Linked DNA regions of Oreochromis niloticus. The main gene of each other region encodes a partner of the protein of the gene in region 2 in a complex. Links are inferred from orthologs where the notes say so. Each region holds a gene or a part of one and is shown on either strand. Other genes may lie near its edges.

Evidence for each region. The genes of interacting proteins can lie anywhere in the genome.
Region 1: sybl1 (region 2) and bet1l share a complex: the UniProt entries of both Homo sapiens proteins name them as parts of the SNARE complex. The link is inferred for Oreochromis niloticus from reciprocal best matches to the Homo sapiens genes VAMP7 and BET1L.

Annotation. Positions count from the first base shown.
Region 1 is NC_031972.2:40,860,776-40,864,535, reverse strand, and holds the start of bet1l (BET1-like protein), read right to left. Parts: upstream 2,984-3,760; 5' UTR 2,878-2,983; coding exon 2,859-2,877; intron 2,176-2,858; coding exon 2,090-2,175; intron 904-2,089; coding exon 847-903; intron 448-846; coding exon 280-447; 3' UTR 1-279. UniProt on the Homo sapiens protein: Vesicle SNARE required for targeting and fusion of retrograde transport vesicles with the Golgi complex. Required for the integrity of the Golgi complex.
Region 2 is NC_031966.2:31,862,713-31,866,472, reverse strand, and holds the start of sybl1 (vesicle-associated membrane protein 7), read right to left. Parts: upstream 2,804-3,760; 5' UTR 2,788-2,803; intron 2,523-2,787; coding exon of another isoform or gene 2,484-2,522; exon of another isoform or gene 2,406-2,483; intron 1,963-2,405; exon of another isoform or gene 1,774-1,962; intron 1,405-1,773; exon of another isoform or gene 1,363-1,404; 5' UTR 1,330-1,362; coding exon 1,184-1,329; intron 991-1,183; coding exon 933-990; intron 663-932; coding exon 525-662; intron 383-524; coding exon 292-382; intron 3-291; coding exon 1-2. Other genes in the region: polr1d (DNA-directed RNA polymerases I and III subunit RPAC2), read left to right, coding at 3,330-3,422. UniProt on the Homo sapiens protein: Involved in the targeting and/or fusion of transport vesicles to their target membrane during transport of proteins from the early endosome to the lysosome. Required for heterotypic fusion of late endosomes with lysosomes and homotypic lysosomal fusion.

The DNA of each region.
Region 1 (3,760 bases), on a different chromosome or scaffold from region 2:
TTGACTTCCAACCAAATCAGGACTTGCTGCTGCAGGATGGGACGTACTCCGTGCCAACTCAAAGATCCCAAAGTTCAGGCTTCTCATTGATATGACCACGCCCACTACAGTTTCCTCCGGTGGGCTGACTGACACCCCCAACTGGTCAAACCAATTTTGCCTACGTCGTTCTTTCTTTCTTTGGTGCACAATAAAAAAAGTCTTTATTTAAATCAGTTTTGACATTACAGTCTAAAGTCTCAGCTCCATATCAGAGCCTGGTTGATCTTGTTTTCTCAGTCATTGGTGGATCTTGGATACCAGGTAGTAAAGAACAAAGAAGACCAGGACCAGCCCCATGGAGACGTAACACAGGATACGGCGGTTGTCTCGTCCTGATCGGACCATGGTGGAGAAACGCTTCACGCTGCCAGTGAGCAGGCCTGTCGCACTCATGAAGTTTGAGTCCTAAAAGAAAGATGAGATAATTCTTTAATAACTGACAATAAATTAACCTAAGAGAAAAAATAAAACAGCCGACAGTATTAATTTGTACTTATATAATGTGCACTCTGTTTACCAAATGTATCAATCCACACAGATTCTGACAATCAACACAGTGCTCATTTTTTATACTGGGACTCTATAAAATTTTTCCTGAATGTTAGGTCCCAGTGAAACCTGTGGATCGATGGTCAAACACTTCACTAAACAGTTCAGAGGAGCTGTCGTGAAAATAGAACAGGGTGAAAATCAGTGAATATTTAAAACAATATTCTGTTTATAGACAAATGGGAGAAATTAAAATGTCAGTTCTTTTTTACTAAAAGATTAACTATAATTGTGTTTAAGGCAGGAAATGCTCACCATGCCATCCAGGTACTCATTCTGATCGTCCACATCTCTGTCGATGTCGTAAGCCAACTGCGAGATACAGAGACAAGAAGATGATCAAGTTAGTTGTAGAAGTCTGACTGCGGCAGACCAGCAAACTGTCAAAACGTTTCCTTTTATGGAGGCCATCTCACTTTCACCCGGGTGCTACTTACTCTCTTAATTCCAATGACATATGTTCTTGCTCACCTGAGGCTGAATTTGAACCATTTGGAAACCTGTAAGGACTATTATTTTTTATTTTAGATTATTTTGATCATGTCCTAAAATGTGGAATCTTGTGCAAAAATGTACTAATAAGCAATCATTTGTAACAAGTGAAGTTTTACATCATCTCAGGGTTAGATTACAGGCAGAAGAAAGAACATGAGAGCAGATTCTGAAAAGCGAATTGCACAGCAGAGGAAAATGTAGAACAGGAAAGCAAACATCTTCTTGGTTACCCGTTATCCTTTTAGGCTGTTGCTCTGTCACTTAGTACCTAACCAGCTTAAGTGCAGATTGGAAGATGTCCAACTAAACAGGACGTTGTAGGGATTTAAAACACAACTCTTTGCTAAAAACAGACACGAGTCATTTGTCAAAGTCTGTGAACATGCATAAAATATTTTCTGGATCCCCAAAGAGGTTTTAATCAGGGACAATGTCTACAAGATTTAAACCAATTATGAGTCATTTATTTAAGCAAAATAGAAATTTTGAATCAGTCTAAAGAAATAACAGTAATCTTTATAGATGTATGGTAGACAGACTAATTGCCTTGACTCTATGTAAACAAGTTGTTTTCATTAGTGTACAGTGAATACCCAGAGGATTGTTCTGAACCAGGAAGAGCCTGAAGCTTGGTGTAAGAAAATCTTAATATCATGTAACTATGTAGAAGTGCCTGATGGTGTCCCATCTTACACTGGAGGCACTGGTTGTACAATTTTCACATTTCCACAATACTGTACATTTATTAATAAAAGACAACCATTACACCAGTGATGCATTTGGTTACAGCTAAAATTCTTACAAGCAATCAGCCATGTATCAGTACATTAAATAACAAAACTGGTTGTGTTTGGGATAATTAATAATTCTGATTCCTGGAACTGACAGCTTTAGTTATAATTAAAACTGAGTACATTTGACAGCAGTAACCTAATAACTACAGACCAGCTGATTTATTAATCAGACTGGTAGCTGAAGGGGACGGTTGTTGGTTGTTACGCACAGATTTCAGTCTGGAGACTTTGTTGGCCAGGTTCTCTGCCAGCCGTTTGTTTTCAGCATCGAGCACATCATCCACAGAGCCATGGCCTGGACAAGCACAAACACCGTGGATTAGATATGACACACAAGATCTGAATGTTCCTTGAATTGTTATGTTTCTGTTGAAAACCGCAGATAGACCTCAGAAGATACAGTTTTTGCCATGCACATAGTTCTGAACACATAACTTGTTAAAGAATATATAATGTTTCTAATTTTCGGTTTAAATCAACAGGAAGCAACACTTTTTCATCAATGACTTTGATATCAGCATGATCGGAGTGTGGTGCAGAGTCTCTGCTGAAGGGATGTTCTTTATATATCCAGCCCTTTAAGCTAAGCACGGAATAACGACGTGAAGTAAACTTACAACACTGCCAAGGAGTATTCGTTCTCCCATATTTGGGAAACTAATAAGATAATAATGATAATAATAATACTAATGATAATAATATCACTTTTTATCACCCTTCAGAGAGGCAGATGCTTCTTTAGTGGGCGAAAGCAACTGATATGAAACTTACAAGGTAGCCTTGCTTTTTGCTAATCTTTAAGTATGTCAGAGCTAGTTAGCCTATAAACTCAGCTCTTGAGATTTGGGTATTATACGAGCAAACGATACTCAAAAATAACATTTTAAAATGTACCACCCAGCTGTAATATCATCTCTAAGCTGACACAAATAACACACAACTGAATATTTGGAAGTGAATACGTGTCAAAACATTTACCTCTGTTCCACTCCGCCATGTTGCTTGTTGGTGAATGACGTCACGATCAGCTGTTCACGTGGCAGACACGTGATCGCCTTTCTTCTTCGTCGACAGCGTTAAGGTGTCATTAGCTTCAGTGACGACAGAAGACTCCAAAATAGTTCTCGCCTTGTTTCCGTTAATGCATTACACTAGCTGAGTACTGATGCCTTAACATAGACTTTAAGCATATACCACACAAAAAGGGGAATAAATGAAGAGTGGAAGAACAAACAACAACAACGCCGACGACAACAATAACATCAACAATAATAACTTTATTTGTGTACCACTTTTTAAAGAACACTGGTTTTAGACACCACACACCATCCGGTCAGACGTCCATTCTAACATACATATTTAACTTACACACAAATAGATGCAAGCTAAGGTCCGAATAATGGGGAAATCATTAAGAGAACACTAAAATATATATAACAAATGTTTTCGGCAGTTGTTTAAAACAAATTACGGATTCAGCTGATCAGGTAAGAACAGGTAAAATGTGACCATAATGCTGAAGGTTATTACAAAGTTTGGGCACTATTGCCTCAAAAACGTGATCGTCTCTGATTTTAAAGTAAAAGCGTGGGACATTTAGCAGACTTTGACCAGGTGATCTGCAACGATAGGGTCTCAGTAGCTCCGATAATATAAGCAGGGCCATCCTCATGTGGATGTTTAAGTGTTACAATTATGAAGTGATATCTGCAGAAGTGCCTATTTCATCCACAAGAGGTCGCTCTTTCTGTCCTGCTCAGGGTAGTTACTTTAAAATTCTACTACTTGTGTCTCACACTATCTGTGTTCCATTTACAAAACGTAGATGTTTGCAATATAAACATGATCAAAACTACATCCAAACAAAGAAAATATTAATG
Region 2 (3,760 bases):
GTCTGTAAAAAAATGAATGCAAACAGTGAATTTAGTGTGAATACACATAATACAATACATATGAGTAATTCACTAAACACAGCACATCATGCATTGTAAGTGAGGTGGTCGCTCATGATACAACACTGCACTCATTTAAGGGCGAAAGTCACACCACACACCAGTCACACATTACAGGTTTTATCTAACTTGGTTTATTAGAGTTTAAGTTAAGGTTTTTCCATCTCAGAGCCTTGTTTATTTATTTATTTATGAATAAATACAAAATGAGGAAATTGAAGAGACGCTCACCTATGTTGCGGACCATGATGCCCTTCAGGTCGTCCACTTGCATCTGAGTCTCAGTGACACGATCGGGTCCACGTGGATCTGAGTGGTGTTTCTGCAAAGAAAAGGAACACGTCACACTTCTTCACATCTTCTTCTGTTTCCTTTTTTTTCTTTTAAACCACAGAAATATTAAGACATCACAGAGCTGTCACAGGAAACATTGCTTGGTATGTTCAGGCTTTCATCATACACACCATTTGAGCTGCCAGTGTAGAGGAGAACTCGCTGTTCATGGCGTAAGGTAGGGCTGTTTGTGCTCGTGAGCCATATGTTGTCTGGAAACGCTTCTTCACTTCACTGAGGAAGGTGAATGCACGTGACCTCTCAAAGTCCTTTAGAAGATAAGAGTCAAATAGGTTTATAAGAAGTTGCATATAATCAATTGTGGCTGCCTCAAAACCTATCTCATCTTTAGCAACAGCAGTAATGCTAGGTTTTCTACAATAACACAGGACATGTGTCCATTTCCTACAGTGGCTGGGTGGTTTATATTTATTTTTATACTAATTCAGGTTTTTAAAATACATTCATAACATCTACAAATGGCCTACTGCAAATCCAAACCCCTGACAAAAATATATGACTGTCAAATATATACTTACGTCATCCGTGATGCACAGGTATATGATTCTGTCATGGCAGATGTAATGAAACAGATAGCTAGAAATAAAGCAGAAGGGTTAATCGTTAGATGAGAGGTGTTTTATACAGTAGGGCTGTTTTTCCTACAGTTTTTACAAGGAATGAACTCTGTGGTACTTTATCACATGACACCGCCGTAGGCACAGTCACAAACAGGATGTAAACTGCCAACTGGAGATGACACAGGCCGCACACACGCACACGCCCTTACCTGCCATGGCTGTATGTCAGTTTGTTGTTCTCTGAGGGAATTTTAGCTAAAATCTGCTCAGTAACTTCCAGGAAGTTACCCCCACACCATGCATGCTTGGCAAGAATAGTGGTTCCTCGAGCCACCACAGCAAACAGGATTGCCATGGCAACAGCTGGGTTTTCACCTTTATTACCTCCCTGGAGGTAGAAGGACAAGGAAGGCGAGTTGTTACTGCTGGGCTGGGGGGTAAACCCAAACGATAATGATTAGGGAAGAATAATTCTTGTGAAACAGCCAAAAATAGTTACAGATAACAGGAAGAAGGAAATAAAATGACATGTGAATAGGTGTAACTAAGAAATCCAATTACTGCCATTAGTACGCCCTAGGAAAATGCCCAATCATGAGCAGGCTGTCATGCTAGAGTAAAATGCCAGCTAATACTAGATGAACCAAAATTTGGGAAACAACAAGATAGCTAACACTGTTGTTGACCATTAAACGTACATATCAGCGTCAGAAAGGTAGTTAGCCGCTTGACGCCATGTTGGTTGTTTTTAGCTACCGAGCTAACGTACGTAATAGTCACATAACATCATATTCATTACCTGGATGTCTCAACGACGATTAAAGTGGCTCATTTAGCGCAAATTCCCACATTTAAAGACGTTTCAGCTGCTAGTTGGCTAATCCCTTTCGAGTGACTTCTGCCTGCTAAGCAAATCGTCCAGACCGGAAACACGTTCAAGCGCGTGCCGGGGAGTGTAGTTCGTACCGCATTTCTGGCTCTATGTACTTAACGTCGTTGTTTCCCTTTTGGAACTACATTTTTCTTTTTACCCCCAGTTACATATTACGTAGTTCCATCGTCACGTCTTCGTATAAACGACTTGTTATAGAAGGGGCGCGAATTTCGCCCTGTTAGAGTCTTCCAGGCGACTTGAACGCTAGATAACGCTTTCCCCTGCAGATAGAGATGTGACAAAACTTACCATTGTTAATTGCTCAACAGGTTAGCTTTTATTGAAATAAATATTTATCAGGTAAATATTAAAAATATTAAAAATATTAAAAATATAATATTTGTCAAACGACGCGTTTGACAAATATTCTACCAACCACAGAGCTGCGTCACTTTAAATGAAAATTATTATCTGATAATTTGATAGTGTATGGCTACAATCATACATATGTTACCAAAACATTGAGGTAAATTTCAGTCGTATTGAACTTTCCTTTGCCTGTCAAACCAGATTCAGGGCTAAAGAGCACAGTACTTAACCTTACTCTGTTGACGGATGCGGTGGGAAAGTGAAGCATGGCCGGGGAAGGAGAAAAGAAAGCAGTACTAGAAATGGTAAAAAGCGAAAATCGTGTGTGGTTTGATGGTGTGCGCGGTTGGATGGGTTCGTCTTTATTTTTTCTAGATCGGATTGATTAACCAAAAAAGCGAATGGCAGCGATTTGACCGCCTGTGCGCTCCTCACGTGGGTAGCTACAGTGGCTAGCAGTAAATAAACTTAACCGGCGTTAATCTAACTTAAGTATACGCTAAAATCTGTCTTTTTGAAGCATTACCAGCACCGGAGACAAACAGTAATTTGGAACATGAGGGTACCTACTTGTTTAATTTAGATGCGGATTTTTCTCAGTCCACGGGTACCTAACAGTATCTCCAGTAGGGGGCAGTAGTTAAACAGTGTTCATATCCTATGAAGATAAACGCCATAAGTATTTGGAAAGTGATGCATTTTTCTGAATTTTCCTACCTCAGATGATGTGAAATAAAGATACCAATTAAAAATGAAATATGAAGCTTCAGGTTTAATTCAAGTGGGTTTAAAAGTATTGCTTTAACTACCTTGGAAGGGGATACTATGATAAGAGGGGAAGGACCTCATCATCTTTTGAGCATGGTGAAGACAGTGTTGTTGCATGGGCATGTGTGGATGCCGGTATAACTGGATCATTGGTTTTTATTGATGATGTGAGTGCTGATAGAAGGAGCAGGATGAACTGTGAAGCGTACAGGGAGTACTCTCTGCTCAGATTCAGCCAAAGTGCTTTAGAACTGATAAGACGGTGCTTTCCAGTGCCATAACCCAAAACACAGACAGAAAGGAATCCAAGAGTTTCCTAAAGCAAAGACATGAAATGTTCCTGAATGGTCAAATCAGAGCTCAGCCCAGCAGAGCATGGTTTTCAGTTACTGATGAAGACAAAACTGAAAGCAGAGAGGGCCACAAACAAACAGCAGGTAAAGACGAACGCAGTGAAGGCCTGCATGCCTTCGCAGCTGTAAAAGTGTGGGTTGTCGTATAAAAATGGCTGCAATTCTTTGATGGTTTTCCATAAAGAAAACAAAAACTTGAAAATAATGAAGTTAGTGTTTGTACATTTAAAAAAAGACTCCTAAGAGCTAAAAAGTTCAGGCTTCATATTACTCTAAACAACAAACTATTGTTTCTCCTGTTGAGAGTGGATATCCCTAACATGGACAAGTCAGGCACTTTAAATAAGCTCTAGCTGCTCCAGTGCAGATCTTCACTTTGTGAATGGTGGCCAATCAGATGAAGGCTGGCCTAAAAGAAGGAG